Astyanax mexicanus: one gene and its partner. The protein of the gene in region 1 interacts with the protein of each later gene in a biochemical or structural test. Links are inferred from orthologs where the notes say so. Each region holds a gene or a part of one and is shown on either strand. Other genes may lie near its edges. The genes, in order: lcat and apoa1b.

Region 1 (10,282 bases):
GCTCTGAAGCTGATTTTAGTTTATCGCAAAAGAAAAATGTAAAATTTGAAACTGATGTGTTGATCTGTAGTAGGATAATAATGTTACTTCAACATATTGAGTGCTATAGTGACTTTAGTAATTTATGTAAGGCACTTTTTACACAAGTTAAAAAAGGTCTATGGGCTAAATAAAACATATGCATTAAGTTGTTTTGCATAGAAAAATAACTCTCACATAAAGAGATCACACCAGCTCTATTCCTGACAGTTTCAGTCCCATTCAGAATTAGCTATTTAATGGTTCTGTCTTTTTTATGCAAAAAAGCTGTTGCTGGTACAGATCCCTTCCTCAGACAAAGTCTGTTGGGTAATCCTGCTGAGTACTGTCTGAGGTTCTCAACCTGCAGACCAAAATCAGACAACTCTTCAAATGATCTAGTGGCTGGAGCCCTGGTGGGTGTTTTCGAAGAGGGAAAGGTGCCAGTAATGTATTATCCTATAATTTATATAACCCACTTGTTGTCTGACACCATTAGTGAACGCAAAATATTAGCCTGATCTGATGTAAAATTGCTGGAAAAAAAAGCATTTTTAGCCTTCACACAATAATTATGGTTCAGGTGCTTGTATGTCTAAAAATCCTATGACTAGTTTGCAAACGTAGGTTTTGCATAATATGAAAATTAGCAATGGATTAAAGTGGGTGGAGCATAATAATCCAAATTGGTAAAAAGTTTTCCTGACCCAAAAAGTAAGGGAAACAAACAGTAGTAAGAATCTTTCTGAAAACTGCATAACTTGGTTTAAAAAAGAAATTTATTTTAATGAACAGTGAGGGCCAGTGACCTTTTTTATTACCTGAGGCTAATACTCTGAGGGGCTTCACTGCTCCACCCCACGGCGCTCCCAGTGAGATGAAGCTCTTAATGTAACGGTCTTTCCAGGCCTTGCTCTGCTGGTTGAGGAAGTAGAGGATATAGTTGCTGCCCATGCTGTGACCCAGCAGGTGAACAGGCTGCTTGTATTCGTCATGCATTTCCTCCACCAGACGCTTTAACTGTGAGAAATATTCATCCTGCTCATCTGGAACACATCAGACACACACAGTGTAAGAACATTGCAAAATCTAGTGTGTGTGTGTGTGTGTGTGTGTGTGTGTGTGTGTGTGTGTGTGTAAAGTAAGGTCACAATACATGTTACTATGAGTCAGAGTCAGGGTGGAGGTAATGTGGTGAATTAGAGAGATAAATGAAAATTAATAAAATGAACCCGTTCCGTTCCACAGATCAGGTCAGAGAAGCTAGATGGACAAAGAATGAACTGTGTGTGTGGGAGAAGAGAACTGTTTGCATGGTGTGTGTTTGAATGTAACCTCACTTGGCGCAATCCTCCAGTCATATGGTGCTGCTCGAACGGTTTCGTTACGCACATATCCCATATTAACCAAATGTTGAAGCATGGTGTGAAAATAACCTAGCAACAGAGACACATCAGCATTAAAAAAATGACAAGGCTAAAGGGAAAGACCTATATTCTGTTATAGAAAAGTACATTGTATACTTTTTAAGTTGAGTTTAATTCAACTGACAATACTTCAATAATACATTGTTAGATCAGTTTATTATGTGTTATGTAGATTTAAGTACATCTACATGTTTAAGTACATTGAACTACATATTAAAATGTATGTAAATGTATTGATGTTACTCAGTAATTTATTTTCCAAACAAATAATAAAACCTGTGAAGTTACATTTAATTCTATATTTCTATAATTGTTAAAACTAAAAACTAAAACTAAATGTAAACATCATACATAGTGAAAAAACACACATGCAAGTCAACTGGAGATTACTTAACAACTCCACATAGTTAGAGATCCAGAGTTCCATTACTTAAACTAAAAATGCCAGCTTAGCTTCAGTCATCAGACATGTTTTGTCTGGCCAGCCACTTATGGAATATGGGGGAAATGCAATGGGTTATGCAATTTATGTCATTTTATTCCACTAACCCTAACACAGATATGCAATACTGTTGCTCCACTCACCTGCCAACTTGTTGTTGTCTAGAAATTCTACAGTGTATGTCTGCCCAAAGCCTGGGGCCCGAACTTCAACCCCTGGAGCATTGGAGGTTTTACGAGTTGTCCGATTGTACACAATCCTACATTGTACAGAAAGACACACAGTGAGTCATTTTTTTGTGAAATGTTGTCAACTGGGGTCCATTTGTCGTCATCATGTTTGCTGTTTGAGAACTATCCAAAAACAACAGACAAAAGGTTAATTGCTTCAGCAACTGGAGGGCAGCCATAAAATCTGATAGCTGGGCATTTACCCCTGTACCTGCCAGTCAAAAAAGCATTATTCAATGGACAGATGGGACAGTGTTTGAATTGTAAAGATGGTTTCTGGTCAAACTAAACCTAAACCTAAACTAAATGGGAGTTTTAATTGTAGAACACCTTCCACATTGCAGTTTACTTACCCAAAATATTTTGGGTAGGGACTGTTTTTGGTGATTTACCACCATACTAAATTTAATCTGGGCCTAAAAAACTGGTTCTCCATTTCCAGTGTGAGTTAGGTAGCACAAGGTTATTAAATATATCAGTGAAGGTTTTTTAAGAACCAGTGCCATGTTGATCCCTGCCAGAATTCTTACACTTTTAGGGATGTTTTGCGAGTGGGAAAGATGGTAAATCTGCCAGTCCCCAGTGGGATGCTATACATGTGCACTGACCTTTCCTAGGGTATTAGGGAAAGAATGTGGTGGTGTCATGGGAGTGAGTTAGGACCATCCATATGAAGGCCACCTGGATTGAGTTATCATAGCCCAAATGAGCTGGCAGCTTTCTTTTCTCACAAATATACATAAGTGTAAGAAAATAAATATTATTATATTGATATTAACATATCAAACCCTTAACTCTTAAAATACCTACATTTTAACCTATGTAAGATGTGCTATTCAATTCCTCACCTCATGTTATCAATCCAGCAGTCAACACCAATAGGCATGAACATGTTGAGGTCGATCCACAGGGGAAACCAGTCCTCAGATTTCTTGTAGCATAACCAGTGGACCAGTGAAGGCTTGTCAATCTTCGCTTCAAGGCGATTTCCCAAATTCCCAGGCACTAAATCATCAGGGTCAAGGAGTTCAGGAGAGTAATAGTTCAAATGAGACATTTTCATAGCCCATGAATTTTCACTACAGAACATAGTGGCTCCAGCAGTGGAACCAATCTATGTCCAGGACTACCACCAAACCAGTTCAAGCTATGCTGCCAAGCTATGTCCAGTAATGCCTCCAAACTATATCCAGCAATGCCAACAAATTATAACGAAAAATGCTGCCAAACCATGTCCAGCAAAACCTTCAAACTATGTCTGGTAATGGCACCAATGTCCAGCTAGTCCACCAAACTATGTTTGGCAATGCTTCCAAACTATGTCTGGTAAAGGCACTAATGTCCAGCAATGCCACCAACACCAAACTGTCTTACTCTAGTAGTGTCCCCAAGCTATGTACAGAAATGTCAGCAAACTGTGTCTGGCAATGCCACCAACTTTATCCGGCAACAGCAGCAATGTCCAGCAATGCCACCCTACTTACTCCAGCAATGTCACCAAACTATGCCCAGCAGTGTCATCAAACTATGTCCAGCAATAGCATTAAATCATAACAGGCAATGCCACCAATCTATTTCTAGTAATAACACCAAACCATATCCAGCAATGCCACCAATTTATCTACAAAAAACTGTGTCTGGCCATGCCACCACTGGCTATGCCATCAACCTATGTCCAACAATGCCACCAAACCACATCCTCTGATGTCACCAACTATATCCAGCAATGTCACCAAACTCTATACAGGTATGCCACCAAAAAATATGTACAAGGATGTCAGCAAACTGTGTCTGTCCATGCCACCAAAATCTATCCAGCAATGCCATCAAACTATGTCCAGCAATGTCACCCAACTATATTCAGCAATGCCACCAAACTATGTCTGGCTATTCCATCAAACATTTTCCAGCAATGCCATGTCTTGCTATGCATTCAAACTACATTCAGCAATGACACCAAACTATGTCTGGCTATGTCCAGCAATGTCAACCAACCATATCCAGCAATGCCACCAAATTATGTCTGGCTATGCCATCAAATTATGTCCAACATTGCAACCCAACTATATTCAGCAATTCCACCAACTATGTCTGGCTATTTAATCAAACTTTATTCAGCAATGCCAGCAAGCTATGTCTGGCTATTCCATCAAACTTTTTTCAGCAATGCCACCTAACCATGTCTTGCTATGCATTCAAACTACATTCAGCAATGTCACCCAACTCTATCAAGCAATGGTATTAAACTATATCCACTAATGTCAATAAACTATGTACAGGAATGTCACCAAACTGTGTCTGGCTATGCCATCAAAGCATTTCCAGCTATGGCATCAAACCCAAACATAAATGCTGTCACACTATGATGTTACTAAACTATATCTACTATGTTACCAAAGCGTTATCTTACCTATGATGAGTGGTGGAAGTGTGCTGTTACTTGGTACACGAGGTTTGGCTGTAGGGGGGAAGATCACGTTCAGAAGCCAGAAGGCTGAACACTGATGAAGGGCAATCAGAACGATGATCACGGAGCTCAGCGCACGCGAGCCCTGCATGATTTCCTCTCCGTGTGGCTGGCTCTCCGGTAACGGGCTGGGCTGACTTTCTGTCTGAGCCCGGAGCAGTGGAGGAGTTTTAATGCTGAGGGAGCGCCAGGGGGCGATGAGGTCAGCGCAGCAGGTAAATATGAGCCGGACAGGACACAACAAGAAACGCGCTTAAATACCACATATATATATATATATATATTATATTATATCTTTTCTCTCTTTCGTTTTTATAATTATTGCCCTGCAGGCTATGAACATAAATATAATAGCCAATGCAGTGATATTTTAATATTTACAATTGGTGTAGAATAACTAATATTATCATTATATTCGAATATAATATTCTAATATTATTGTAGGAAATCAAGAAGGAGCAGCTGCATCTTTTTACTTTCAGTGTTTCTTTTTTGTCCTTAGAACCCCCCCCCCCCCCCAAACACACACACACACACACACACACACACACACACACACACACACACACACACACACACACACACACTGTTATATAAACACCCCTGGAGTCCTAAACCAAACCTTATTTAACCACATGAACCAAAATGAACTTTTCTGACTGCTTTTAAAAAAAAAACCTTAACAGTAATGCATTCTCGTTGGGATCTGTCGCACAGAACCAGTGTCCTGGCTCTATTGATCGTACTACTGGGCAGTTAATCATTTACAGCTGGGATGAATGTTAGGTTCATTAATACTCCTGTAGTACTCTCACTCTGCTGAGAGATGGGTAATGCAGAGAATAGACTACCCACGTGCAATCTCCCCGTTATATTAGAAAATGACTGTAAACCGCTAGAGGGAGCCCGCGAGGGAGTTCAAAATGAATGGGTGCTAAATGGAGCTAAATGGCTAAGAACTCAAATTACAGTTTTTCTCTGTCACTTTGAAAAATTTTCTCAGATTTGATTGAATTTGGTCAAATTACACATTATTTTTTCACGTGTGCAGAACACAGATAACATTTCTTATTAAATTATACAAGCAGCAAATGCTTTAAAGTGCTATGGCAAATTTATTCTGTACAACTGGCACAGTATGACTGCCTAAGATAGATAAACGTGTATGAGATGAGAAATATGGGCCTTTTACTTAGAATTAGCCCAGTCTCACTGCAAGAGTATAAATCTAAATATCACTATAATTCATTCCAAGATGAAAATATATAGAAACCAATCCACTCTCCGTTTTCTTACAAAAGATTATCCTTGGATTGGAGCTTTGATGTAATATTCAGTTTCTTCATGGGCATTTATTTACAGAACAGCAAGCTTTATTATTCGACTTAATTATTATAAGCCGTGGCCACGCCTTAGGATCTCATTCCCATGCCTTACTAAGTCGTGGCCACACATTGTTTTATTTTAACATGATGTCACCTCCATACGAGAAGAGTGTCTCTTATAATCTATTTTTACACACACAAAATTAAACAGCAATCTTTATTCTGTTATTGTCTGACACGGTTCCCGCTCCTGATACATCCTTTGTATGTGTGTGTGTGTGTGTGTGTGTGGCCAGTCAGTCATGGATTACATTAGCATTGAGAAAATTCTTAAGGAGTAAACTGATACACTACTACATGACTAATAATCATTTGATTGTTTAAAAGGTTTGTCTTCGGTGCTGAAACATGTTATATTTTTCTGTGTTGTGGAAATTAGTATATTTTTCTGTGTTGTGGAAATTAGTATATTTTGGGTATGAAAATAATTAGACAATTATAAACCCTGCTCAGTTGCTTCATTCATTTTGGACTCATTATACGACATATCATTTTTTGATTACTAAAACACGTGTTACATGATAACCATAAATAATACCAGACTCCTAATAAGGAGAGATTTGAAAATATTTTATTAAGCATAAATATTTTTGAGTTAACATTTAGTATTTATTCTCATATATCGTTTTAGATTTTAGTTGTAATTATTTTCACATGTGCCAAAATGTTTGCACAGTAAACGTGAAATATGTGATTTTAAAAAATAATATTGGTTAAATATGTTTTAAAATCTAACGTACGTGAGCTCGTGAGTATCCACGAGCCAATCCAAGCACAGGAGTGAGCGCCGGAGGGGCGGGCTTTGGGAGAATGCGGCTCGCGGATTGGTTTAGGTGGTGAAGGGCCATGGGCGGGGATTTTGTCGCTTATGGAAACCGAGTATAAACAGTTCCAGCGTTACTGAGGAGTAAAAGGTAAGCGGTTCATACTAACGTAAATATCTCATATAGTAAACCAGAATAGTCTGTATTATATACAGCTTTACTATGTAGTGAAGATTGTAAAACAAGGGTTAGTGTGTGCACGTTTTCTAACTGTCTGTAATCTAAATATATTTAGCTGTGATATTCTGTTTTTTTTGGGTCTCACTCACATTTAACAAATAACGTTACAGCTCTGGAAAAAAAATAAGAGACCACTTCAGTTTCTGAATCAGTTTCTCTGATTTTGCATAGGTTTATGTTTGAGTAAAATGAACATTGTTGTTTTATTCTATAAACTACAGACAACATTTCTCCCAAATTCCAAATAAAAATATTGTCATTTAGACCATTTATTTGCTGAACTGTTTGGATACAAAAATCAAGCAGTTCAGCTTGGTTTGATGGTTTGTGATCATCCATCTTCCTCTTGAGTATATTTCTTAGGTTTTCAATGTGGTAAAATCAAAGAAACTGGTGGTCTTTTATTTTTTTCCAGAGCTGTATAAGTACTGATTTTTACCAGGGCACTTGTATTTATTTAAATTATCAAAACAGTAAAATCTATCTTTCCAAGAGCAGAGCTCTGGTTAAAAACAATATAAGATACATATAAGATACATACATACAGGTACATCTGAAAAAATATAATATTATTGAAAAATTACATTATTTCAGTAATTCAGTTAAAAATGTGACATATATCATAAAGATGCATTACACACAGAGTGATCTATTTTAGGAGTTTTTTTCTTTTGTTGTTGATGATTATGGCTTACAGCCAATGAAACCCCCTGGAAAATGAAATCCTGTGATCTTATTAATTTTACAATGTAAAAAAATATATATAAAAAGAAAGAAAAAAGTGTAATGAGAAGAGGTGTGTTCAAACTTTTGACTAGTACTGTATATAGCAGCAACACATTATCAAAAAGAAATTCAAAGTAAAGTCATTGACATCTATCACACTTGCCTCAGATAAGGTCAATGTTAATAATTCAATAAAAAGAAAGAGACTGGGTGAAACGGACGTCCATGAAAGAGTTCTAAGGCAAAAACCACTGCTGACCAACAAGAACACAAAGAACATTGCTTTGCTTCTTCAGGAGCTGGACAATTGCTATAATTGATGGAACCATGAATCCATGAACCATGATGCTCTCTACCAAAAACTCTAAAGGAGAATGCCTGGCCATCAGTTTGTGACCTTAAGCGTAGGCGTACTTGGGTTGTGCAGCAGGACAATTATCCAAGGCATATCAGTCTACATCTGAATGGCTTAAAAAAAAGTGATGTGGCTTGATTTTAAACAGGCTGTTTATGCTCAAATACCTTCCAGTATGGCTGAATTAAAATAATTCTGCAAAGAACAGTGGGTGAAAAAGATTCATTTATCGCAAATGCTTGATTGCAGTTGATGCCAAGGGTGGCACAGCCAAGTTATTAGATTTGGAGGCAAATACTTTTTCACATAGGGCCAAGTTGGTTTGGATAGATTTTTGCTTTTTATATTTATATATGTTATATTTGTTTTATATTAAAATGTGTTTGTTAATCTGAAAGCTAAACTAAATCTGTAGGGGGCAAATACTATTTCACAGCACCGTATATTCTTCAAAAGGTATGTTTTTCACACAGTTTGGTCTTGCTGTATTTGCACAGTTTTGCTCTTATCTAATGTTTTTCATGCTTGCCATCTGCCAGTTATGTTCAAGAGCTAAAGCAGGTGTGTTAGAAAACATGAAAGCCTGAAAACATGAATCGGTGGGATGGCAGGTCCCCTGGACTGCAGCATGTGCCTTGTTTTCACTCCTTGTAGATGGAGATGCTGCCGGAGGTCGAGCCTGAGCTGGAAGAAGCTGAGCTCCAGGAGGAGGAGGCAGAGCAGGAGGAGGAGGAGGGAGGAGAGGATGGAGGTCTGAGCGAGTTACGGGAACTGGAGGAGACGCTGGCCAAAGTGCAGATAGCCCCCTCAGCAGCCCAACTGTGAGGTTACTATAGTTCGTTGGCGCTTGGTAAACTCTGTGCTTGTGTTAAAGTGAGCCGGTATCATGGTTATGCCACCCCGACTGTTTGCATTACACAATCACTGACTGCAAACATGAAGATGTAATGTCTCATACACGCTGTGCTGAGGGGGAAAACACACTCAGGAAGACCACCCAAACAAAAATCAATAGGCTGTGTATTGAGTATGGGGTTACTAAAGGTCAACATGTGTGTTAAGATAGCAAACAGTGGCTTTAGCATGCTCTTAGCATGTTGTGGTCTTGAGAAAACCATAGGAAGTCCAGATTTCAAGCATGATGAAAACATGGCCTCACATCTGGTGGTCAAGTTAACAACACACCTAATGAGTGTTGCTTTTCTTTAGTAGTCTAATAATAAGTAATATATAGCTGAAAGTAAGATTCTGACAGAATTTTATGTGTTTCCTAATGAAAGAGAAGATCACTCAACCTTTTTACACAGTGATGCTTGCTGTATAAAATCTAGGTCACCAATAAAAAACCTTAAAGCAGAGTGATTCACAAAATCTAAAACAATCCAGAATAAACAACAGTGTTGCTTTATTAATCTTCTTATGCTAATTGGGAAACACATGTTGTTTTGATATAGGAAGCTGCATTTTTGCTTAAGTTTGCCTGTAAGCATGTTAACATGCTGCTTAAAAGTGCATTTTGTTCTATAGCCATATGCCGTAGTATATACTAGTGCATCTCAGAAATTAGAATATCATTGAAAAGTTACTTAATTTCAGTAATTCAGTTCAAAATGTAAAACCTTACTACATTATATAGATTTATTACACACAGAGTGATATATTTTAAGTTTTTTTTTTATTGTTGATGATTATGGCTTACAGCCAATAAAAACCCAAGAATATTATATAAGACCAATTGGTACTTTTGGCATTCTGGGCAGTGTGCCAAGTCCTGCTGGAAAATGAAATCCACATCTCCATAAATGTTGTCAGCAGAGGGAAGCATGAAGTGCTGTAAGATTTTGTGGGAAAACAAAACTGCACTGACTTTAGACTTGATAATAATAAAACACAGTGGATCAACACCAGCAGATGACATGACTCTCCAAACCATCACTGACCATCAGTAAATTTTACATTTCATTTGGAAATCAAAGGAGTCTGGAGGAAGAGTAAAGAACCATGTCATCTGCTGGTGTTATACGTAAAAAGGAAATTGCTGATCCAATCTGTAGCATTATAATCAAAACAGTGTAGGTTCTTTAAAAGTGAGGAATGATTGACTGTATCCAAAGCTTTAGAGAGATCAATAAAGATGAGTGCTCTCTTTCTATTATAGACAGTGATTTAATTTATTAAGGGCAAAACCTGATCCAAACCAATCTAGCCCTTTGAAAAAAAAAAAGTGT
Region 2 (10,352 bases), on another chromosome or scaffold:
AACCAAGATCATACGCTCCATCAAGACCAAGTACTGCTTAATTACATGTATATATTATTGACTGAAGACAGAAGACCATCAGTGCATCTGTGTCTTCGCGACAATCAATAATAAGTCCCTGTGGTCCGTTTGCAGTGTTCAACACACAGCTAATTGGATTTTTAGCACAAGTATCCTGTATGGAAAAGTAGAACTAGGAAACAAAGAAGTCGCCCTCTGACCCCTGGTGGACACTGTGGATGTGGTTCTTCAATAACTCCCCACTTTCAACTCTGCCCTCAGCTCAGTGCTAAATAAATGGATCACTTCTAAGCCTGAAGGGCCTGTCAGACGGCTAAAATGGATTGGCTAATAATTGCTTATTCTTTGGTTCTTCCAAAATCAAGGGTTTTTAATAGTTAAGAGTGTATCCTGTTTTTGTTGGAGCAACTGTCTCTACTGTCCTGGGAAGGCTTTTACTAGATTTTGAGAGAAGGATTTCTGTAAGGTTATATGTAATTTAATTATTACATTCAGCAGCAAGAGTTTTGGATAGAGCACCCACCATTATTCCAGAAAACACAGTTAATTTAGCTAATTTCCAGTGGGTTTTAAACCTATTCTGTTGGTAATACTTTTACAGGGACTAGACAAGCTTTTCTATGGCATGTCAATGGTACATTTATAGATAAAATTGCGCTGCTTAAGTATATTTATGATTAAAATGGCGCTGCTGGGTTAGCTAGGGTAGCTAGCTAGCTAGCTAATTGTGTGACTAAAACAGCATGACTGAAATAAATGAATGACTAGAATAGCACTGCTGAGGTAAATGTGTTGTGCTTTTTTGGTAAGGTTTTAAGTGTTTAATACATATTTTTAAACTGGAGCTTTGAACGTGCATTTTGTTTGAGACAAAATAACATAAAAATACAATTAAATAGCTATTTAATTTTGTTCAATGGTGAAAAAAGAGGTAGAATTAATGAAAACCTGTGAAAAATGGTATTCACTTCGGTATTCAGTTTTGGATAAACATTGTAATTTCCGTCCATCTCTGATCTCTTTATGTATTTATTCATTGTGATTTATTGTGGATTATCATAGGTGAACCGTTATATATAAGGCTGAACACTTTGATTATACAAAATATTAATTAGGTTTACATTAATTAAGCTAAAAATAATTTATAAGAAATGAATGCTGTTTCCTAAAGTTGAACATAACATGAGGCTTAATATTTTGGCTGATCTGTGTCAAACACTGACAGGGTTTAAAAACAGCGTCTCCTGCATATCATTCATTGACCTCATGTTTTTAAGGATCAAGATGTGCTTATGGATCTCCTTGCCTAATGTTCATGGATAAAAAGATTATAGGGTGGTGTTGGCAAGACTTTGCCTGAGGCAGTTCATGAAGTTGTCTCATCCATCTAATACTAATAAGTACAAGATCTCTACCAAACATCAGGTCAGGATCTGTTCCAGGTGATTTATTATCCTAATAAAACCCATTAGTCTCCAACAAACGCATTTCATAGGTCCTAGTGTAAATTTTCTGTTTCTGTTTTCTGTTTCTTTTTATTTTATTTTTTTCCAATTTTTTAATCAACAGGATAATGGACAATAACCAATTGATCCCTATATTTATCATTAAGTTATTGTGCTGCTTTACATTTGACCTGATGTCGAGATCTTCAGGTAGAAAATTTTAATTCAAATGCCCCACAAGTTAGATTTCATATTTAAAAAAGTTAAGAGAGGCTCACCAATATTTTAAATGAATAGTATTATACTGTTTACTGTCACTTCTATCTATTTGCGTGTCATTAAATCAGTCGTACACACAACACTGTCCAGCTTCTATCTGTGGAATTGCTTGAATAGTGTTTGGTTGATACTGTTGTCAACTGGTATCGATTAGCAATGCTAACCTGGGATAATGCTAACAGTAGTAACCTGGGACATAATAAAGGAGTTTATATTTTAAATAGATTTGACACAAAAAAGGACTGTCAAACCCAGTTGTAGTAAAAGTCTTTAGTTGACAGTTTTTTGACAATAGTGTTTTGAAGTAGTGTTCAATTGTCATATTCTTAGTCTTAATGCAGAAACTATTTTGTGTGTGTGTGTTTAATAATAGTTTGTTTAGCACATCTTGAGGAGTAATGAAAGTGAATATGCACTGGGGACAGTTTTGTTGGTCTACAAAGTCTTGTACGTCCCATTCTCTCTGAATAATTATGCATTACTTTATTCTGTTGAATGTAAAGGCTGTTTTAATTGGAAACTGTTTTTTAAAGATATTTGTATTATCATATTAAAGTAGTAGTAGTAAATTTATGTAGAATTAACGGAGCTAGAGAAAGTTTATGAGCTTTCTTGTCATTAATGGGGCAAAATAACCAAACAAATGATCCATGTCTAAAACCAAAGATTCTGTCATTTTGATTTTGCAGTTTTACAGCTAGAGAAAATATGATTTTATGTCCAAATAACCCTTAATTCACACATTTTATGTACCACCGTATGCCTAATAAATAATGTTAAACTGCTCTGCTAATGTTTAATGTATTGATGAGAGCCAAAGCTGAAGGACACCTTAAAAAAACACTTAAGACACAAAAGGAAGTTGTATGAAACAGTCTATTTTTATTGAGCCATTGTTTTGGCACACTTTTTAACAACACAGAAGCACAGCGAAAGGTATTTTTTAGCCAGGCGTTAAAGAATGTTGCACAAAAACAGGTCTTGCATATACTTAAGCATGTGTTTGCTTTAAGTGTCATCAAAAGCTTGGCCAATTGTAAGACAGGCAGTAAAAGTCCTTTGCTGCATCAGCGCGTGGTGTGAGTAAGTAAGTGTGTGATGGAAAGAGTCCTTTTGTATGATAAAGCCTTACAGACTTGGTGTTAGTAACAGGGTTTGGAAATGTAGGAAAGGGTTGAAAGAGGCTGTGATTTGGTGGGAGAGGTGTAGGATAAGAAGGTTTATGCCATGAAGGCCTTTTGGAGGGTTTCCACAATCTTCTCCAGCTGGGGCTTGATCTCTTCTCCCACGGTGGCCAGCTTCTTTTGCAGCTCTCCAGATTCGTACTTGGACTGCAGCTGTCCGAAGACGCTTTGTGCGTGGTCTCTGTACTCCTGGACGTAGGGGGCGACAAACTGCCTCAGCTCTTCCACGCGCTCGGTTGCCTTGCTACGCAGGACCTCCACGATGGGGGTCAGCTTGGACTTGGTCTCCTCCAGGTTGGTCTTGATCCTTTCCTGCAGATCCTTCATCACGGGCTCCATCTTGACGCGGAGCTGCTCCATCTGCTCACGGTGTTTTTCTGTGAACTCCTTGATCAGGGGCTCCAGCTTCTCACGGTACTCATCGAGGTGTTTCTTCACCACCTGGCGCAGCTCCTCGCGCTTGGGCTCCAGCTCTTTGCGCAGATCCTCAACATCTTTCTCAACCTTGGCGCGGAGAGCAATGACGCCTTCCACTACTTGGGGACCGATGGTCTCTCTGACTGGAGCAAGGGAGGTAGAAGCAGCCTCAAGGTAGCCTTGGATCCTTTGCAGGGACAGGGTGAGGCGCTCCCTGTGAAGAAGACAAGAACAAAGATCTTATAGTTACTGTTAGTCTTTAGAGTAATAAATGAGTAGGCCTGGAAAAATAAGCTTAATCTCTTACTTGACTTCCTTGTAGTCACCATCATCAAGACGGTCGATGGCTTTCTGAGCTGTCTCCTTCACCTGACCCAGGTATGTCACAACTGCAGACCTAATCTGTTCATAGTCAGTTGGTGCATCTGCCTGCATGTAGCGGGCCTGGCAACCTGAACAAGCAGGAAGAGGAGGACGAATTTAGACTAAAGATTTTGAACATGCTGCTGGAACAGACATACTGGACTAGGTATTGTTTAAACCTTTTATTATCAGTGTTGGCAAATTGGAACATTTTTTACCTGCGGCCAGAAGAATGGTCAGTGCTAGAGCCACGAACCTCATGATGGATCTGTGAAGAGAAGCAACAAATATTGCAGGTCAGCATCTTTTAAAGAGCTTTGAAGAGCAACAACACATCTTTGACAATTATTACCTAAAGCCTGATGAAACTAGAGAAACTCTCAAGCCGTCCTGAATGAGTTCAGTCTACAGCATATGTCAAGCCTATCAACCTACACTCTAATCCAGACTGGATATAACAGAGCTGCATGGAGTTACAAAGGCTTCACTACCAGATTAGCTCTTAACCATGGGATAATCTTCAATCCCCAAGATTACTCTTGGACAGCCAGGGAGGATTTGTCCCTATCCTGGGGTGACTCTTTAGGAGGCCTTTGCAAAGAATTAAAATGCTATTGGGAAAAATGTAAATGTTGTTCTAAATTGTGATTTTAGCCAGTCTTTCACAAATTAGAATTGTCTTTTAAACAACTCAAGTATAAAAACTAAAACTTAAAAAGTACAATGTCCTACAACAACTGCCTCTATACAATATATAAGTTTTCAGTGCGTAAAATCTTCAACTCTTCAGCCGTGGCTGTCCAGTGAAAAAGTGCCGGTTCCCTTGGCTCAGCTGCTTACCTGTTGATGATGCTGGTCTTGGAGAGACTGATGAGCCTGAGGTGGAGATGGATGTTTTATAGGGCCCCGGGGAGTGGGAGGGAACACTGTGGGGAGTGAGTTTGCCTCTGTGGAGTTGGACCTCACCCCCTCTCTGATTCACTGGACGAGTTGGGTACAATGGTCACCTACTGAGTAGAGGGGGAGGTTGTCATCGATAGAAGCACAAAAGTGCTGTGGAGATGTTTATGTTCAGTTTCTTCTGCTTTTTGGACGTTTTTCGTGCAGATAAGAACGTGAACATGTTTTTGTGTATTTGTGTAAACACTTGGTAGAATATTGACTTAAAAAGGTTTTGCATCATTCAAAAACATACTATTTGTGCATACTTCCTTTTAGAACTTTTTGATCCATTGTACTATTTACTCATCTGTCGCTTATACAGATAATATAATATTCTTTAAATGACCATTGCACACTTCTGTAACTCGATTAGAACCTATATAGTTTGCTCTGTTTTCATTGTAGTAAAGGCATAAGGCCATAAAGGGGGTTCAATGCTTGTGGCAGTGGAGAACCATTATTTCTATAATTATATATATCTATCCTCCAGCTTGGTAAAAATTGGATACTTTTAAAAAAAATTAACTTTAGCATGAAAAAAGCACATTTTTAATGCTTTTTGAGTGTGAAAGTTAAATAAATCAAATTATGTTGCAGATAATTGGGTCAAATGGTTTAGAATGTTAAACCTGTTCTTTACAGGTTGGAATCATTTGAAGAAATGACTTGAAATTACTTGAAAATGACTTAAATCACCTTAATTAAGTTAACATCTAAAATATCTTGTATCTCCAATCCAATCTCAATGCACATACCCTTACAGTGCATTGTTTAGTTTTTTATATTTTATATTTAGAACATACTTTAAAATATTGATTAAATTATCTTATTGCCTTTTATTTCATAATTTTATATGTTCATTTCTAACTCATTATGATTGCAAATAAAATTTAAATAACCAGAACTTTATGTTCCCAACAAAATCTGTGCACACAAGCTTGTAAATTTGCATGGCCGTGAACAGGCAGGCCATTAGTCTTGAGTGGGAGCATTGAGTAAACTGATAAAAAAAAAATGCAAACACATCTACTGCAGTAAAATTCAATGATCAAATCAGTGGCATTAGAGGGGAATCTCCTTCTTTCATTTGTTTTTTTTTTATCCCTCTGTCTTTTCTTTATCAGGGTAAAAGATCCAGCGCTCTCCTGGGTTCTCTGATAAGGTTCTGAAAGGGCATTGGGTACAGACCCGCACCATAAAGCAGTGTCGTAATCTTCATGGTACACTCTGTTACCATATCGCTGCATTAGAAAAAGCTGCCAGACTGCTCTGCATGCTGTGGCAAAATGACAAATGGGTTAAAGGGTCAGTTGAGCTGTCCAGTGTGTGTGTGGACTTTGTCTGTCACTACAGATTTAATGCAATTTTGAAGATATACGTACTGGTTTTTACACAGTAAAGGGATTTTAAGGCATGATGGAAAGGTTTATTTCTTAGTTGTATTTTTAACATACTAAAAAAAAATTAAACTTTATAACCCTGAGATCACACCTTGTAGCCTGGATGCATGTAGAAGCTAAAATCCTATCAGCAATTAGAAGCTTTCTATAACATTAGCATTCAATCTACTGGAATTAGGACAGAAATTAGCAGAAAATGTATCAATGCACTTTTTCAGCCTTCCTGATGAACTCTATGCTTAATCATTAACCTACAAAAGCAAAGAGAAAATCAGCAGAGCAAATTCATGGAATTTAAGATGGACTCCAGGGACACTATCCAAAATGCTCTGCCTATGTGGGAGTATGACGTCTGAGTCAGCAGAACTGCAGTTGACTATTAATATATAGGACAAATATGGAACCAGTCCATCCGTTTTAAATCCATTTGGACCCCTGAACATAGTGTCACACGTATGTAAGAATATAAGTTCAAAAGTGCAGAAAAAAAGTGCAAAGTCAAACGTCAGACCATTACTTAACCGCTCATCCCTGCTTCAATACTGCTAATCAATTTCAAACACTGTCCTTGTACTTTAGCCTTCTAGATTCAGTTCATGTTTTTAGAGTTGAGGATACCAAGCAAAGTGTTTTAGTTATTATTTTTTCCCTATCTTCTCCCAAACACATAAGGTGTGCAATAGCACATGGCTGTCATTGTTATTTTCTGTTTTTAAATTCTCCACGCATTCTCTATTGGGGACAGGTCAGGACTGCAGGACTTCTTGAGAAATGCATGGGTGCACATGGAAAAGATGTTGCAGCGTATGTAACTGCAAAATCTCAATGTAATTTTCTGCCATAGTTAATCGCAGAAGTGTACTTACACTCAAATTAAGTCCGGATAGTCCATTTAGTTAAAAATGATCTGGAATAATGATTCATCAAACCACAGTACTCATGTCCACTGTGTAATGGTCTATCTGGATACTTTTGTGACCAGAGAAGTTGATGCCTCTTCTGAACATGGTTAACATAAGGCTTGCAGTGGCATAAACATAAAGTTGTAAGTGTCATTTGTGGATGTAACTCCATTGTAGTGTTTGAGAAATATTTGCCAAAGGAAGTCCTACCAATGTTTATCTATCAGCTATTGTTGAATACAGGTTCTTGGTGCAGTGCTGTCAGAGGGTATAATGACATTTTAGTAATACTGGCAAACTGAAGATTCTCAACCCATCCTTGCTCCTTAAATATTCAACCTGTGATTTCATGCTGAAGAGATAAAAATACTCTAAAATGACTTGAATTTAAATAAAGTTTAGAACATTTTCTCTCTCCTGATAGATAATCAAGCTTGTACTGTATACGGGAATGTTTCTCAAAGACAGGCCGTCCGCTGTAACAAAGCATTAGCTTTCAATTGCAAATGAGTTCCCTCCCTCCTCGCTGATCCTGAGATGGCTCTGCACTTGATTACAGTGTCCCAAATCCCCAAACTTTCTCTTCACTTCACACGACTTTTATAACCAGGCTCACACCCCCTCTCCTTAATCCCCTCCACAATTCACCCGCAACCTTTCATTTTCCATTCTTCCTGCCAGTAAAACACCGGCTCCCTGCTGAGCGCATTTCTAAACACAGTGTCAATAGCTCTGTTCACTCCTTTAACTCAGCGTGGATCAGGAGACGACTGGCCAATTGGCCCCATTTGTCAGATCAGTTAAATGATAGTGGTGAAGGTTGAGTTGATCTTGTAGTTGTTATCTCTGTAATTACAGTAAGATACAGTAAAATATCATGCATCCTTTACTTTCCTTATTTATACGTATATATTTGTACGTTTATATGTCTAGAGTTAAAACAGGGTGTTTGGATAACTGTTACTTATTTTCTTGACATTTAATCTCCACCATTCGTTTTATTACTTTAATTCTTTTATTCGTGCCTTTATAATGATCAAAGGCTCAGTTTACAATTTAAATATCTAGATAACGGGAATATCTTAATTTTTTAAATTATTTTATTTATTTATTTAGTGTTTTTTGTACAGCTTTCTTTTTTCCAGCTATGGATAAGGTACCCAACCCATGTTCTTGAGTTAAAGCAGAGACACACAAAGTAAAAGTAGAAGTCCTCCTTTAGACCTCCACTCGAGTAAAAGCACAAAAGTATTTGCTTTTAGATGTACATAAAAATTATTAATTTAAAAGTATCATATTTTGTTATGGGTGTAAAGTAGGTCATGATCCATATAGAGTATAAAAATTATTTAAAAAGTTATTAATTTAAAAGTATCATATTTTGTTACGGGTCTAAAGTAGGTCATGACCCATATAGAGTATAGTCATATGATAAGCTTTGGACGCTACTGTTGAAATGCACTTTCATGCAAAAATGCTTTTTGATAATAAAAAAACTATATATGGCTTTTTTTTATTGATATTCTTTATATAAACAATAACCCCCAAATGTGTCTTAAGAGCTATCAGAATTTTTTTTTTCTAAAGGGATTTGTAGTTATGTTCATTTACCAATGTAAAAATTGCATTTGCCAAACATTTAAGAGCGTACAACATGCTAATCTAAGTGTAGAACTGAATGTAGTGTGGACAGTATTCTACTGGAGGACTGATAAAACAAACCTTTGGTCTGGCATTATCTCAGTTAGACACCAATGTCATCACTGAGAATAAATATTAGAACTAGTATCAGTTTCTTCTTTTAAACAACTGCCCTGCTGTTTTTATTGGTGCTAATTGCACTGTGTTATAATAGGATTATTCAGTCATTATTCAGGGTTAAAGACAGTACATTCAGTACTGGTTGCAGTACATTTCCCCAATATCTCCTAAATACCTAAGGAAAATGGTGGTCTTAAACATTGAAAACAGGATAAAGGAGCATAATAAAGTTTCAGCTTGAAATCTAAGGACTCCCCATATCAAACTACATCTAGCACTGCTTCAAGGTGACATCTTTGTTAGAGACTTCCAGGCATTTTTTTAACAAAACAATGCAAAGCCACATGCTGCACACATTACAAAAAAGAAATGACTGCAGACCAAGAGGGTACAGAACTGGGCTGGCCTAACATTTAAATGTAAAACACTTAGGGTTAGCAATGTTATTTTATTATATTATTTTGTTATTTTATATTCTGTTTATTGTTGAGTTAAAAGTCAGGTTAGCGTGTCTGTGTGTGTGTTTGTTTAAAAAGCGAGGGTGTACGGGTGCTGGCGCACCTATAGGAGTGAAATCTTGACAGTTAAACTATAGTCTAGGTTTGTTTCAGTAAGTGGCGCACCTGTGTTTTCCACTGTCAGGTTAGCGTTTAGCCGCTAATTCTAATGCTCCAGCCTTAGTGCTGTTGAATCCGGTAATCCAAGCTTACTGTAAATAAACAAATGCGCTTTACTGACCCAAATAAACAGTTTTCAGGAGAGATATCTGTGTAGATTAACATCCAGTGCTCGTTTGACTTTAAAAGAAGGTCATTTTTTATTACAACTTTGTTTACTTAGCTTAGCCTGCACCCTGCGCAAGGCACTTCACCATGCTCTTTGTTACCATACACCAAGTCAACAGTCTATTTTTGAGTCTTACACTTGCGCCGTCAAAACAGCAAAGGAGTTTAGCAATACCCTATTTTTCGCAGTATAGAGCGCATCGGGTTATAAGGTCCACTATTAACTAAACTAGCTAAGTTAATAGTGCACCTTATAACCCGACACAAGAGGAGCACATTGGAGCACACTTGTATAAACTACAATAGCATGGAAAAAGTAGAGCAAAAGTCACTTTGAAAGCATCTTTGCAGGGTTAGATTAGGTTTTTGGAAGGTGATGTGTGGGTGCCAATCATGGATGTCACGTGACCCGTGGGCGGAGGAATAGAGAGAAACTATGGCGCAAAACAAGAGACCATGGTCCACCACCTACACAACGACACACCGAGAACAGAACAAGATTTCATACAAAATTATTGTCAATAGATTAGTTGATTAAATATATATATATACATTGGTATATATTTGGCATGTGTTTCTTTCACATTCATTTTAATTCAGTGTTGCATGGATATTTCAATGAAAATGGCTGGAATTGCTGTCGTTCTGTTTAAACATGATGTTCCATTCACTGGATTCTTGGTGGACTTAGAGGTTTTCAATGCTAATATTTAGCTTGGCAGTTCATGATGTCCAGCTACCCTAAAGCCACTAAACGTTTTTTTAAACAAACGCCCACGCTTGAACTGATTTAAGAGAACTTTGCAACGGCCTTAATCGAACTGTCCCTTTGACACAGATACTCAGCAAAGTC

What was found.
Region 2: the proteins of lcat (region 1) and apoa1b form a complex in vitro, tested with the Homo sapiens proteins (6 studies listed by BioGRID and IntAct, with this or other methods). The link is inferred for Astyanax mexicanus from reciprocal best matches to the Homo sapiens genes LCAT and APOA1.

The regions. Positions count from the first base shown.
Region 1 is NC_064417.1:7,192,113-7,202,394, reverse strand, and holds the start of lcat (phosphatidylcholine-sterol acyltransferase), read right to left. Parts: upstream 4,767-10,282; 5' UTR 4,676-4,766; coding exon 4,528-4,675; intron 3,123-4,527; coding exon 2,966-3,122; intron 2,147-2,965; coding exon 2,031-2,146; intron 1,455-2,030; coding exon 1,359-1,454; intron 1,065-1,358; coding exon 840-1,064; intron 1-839. Other genes in the region: ccdc135 (dynein regulatory complex subunit 7), read left to right, coding at 8,709-8,875. UniProt on the Homo sapiens protein: Central enzyme in the extracellular metabolism of plasma lipoproteins.
Region 2 is NC_064411.1:43,929,334-43,939,685, forward strand, and holds apoa1b (apolipoprotein A-Ib), read right to left. Parts: upstream 4,615-10,352; 5' UTR 4,550-4,614; intron 3,978-4,549; 5' UTR 3,971-3,977; coding exon 3,928-3,970; intron 3,799-3,927; coding exon 3,654-3,798; intron 3,561-3,653; coding exon 2,966-3,560; 3' UTR 2,608-2,965; downstream 1-2,607. UniProt on the Homo sapiens protein: Participates in the reverse transport of cholesterol from tissues to the liver for excretion by promoting cholesterol efflux from tissues and by acting as a cofactor for the lecithin cholesterol acyltransferase (LCAT).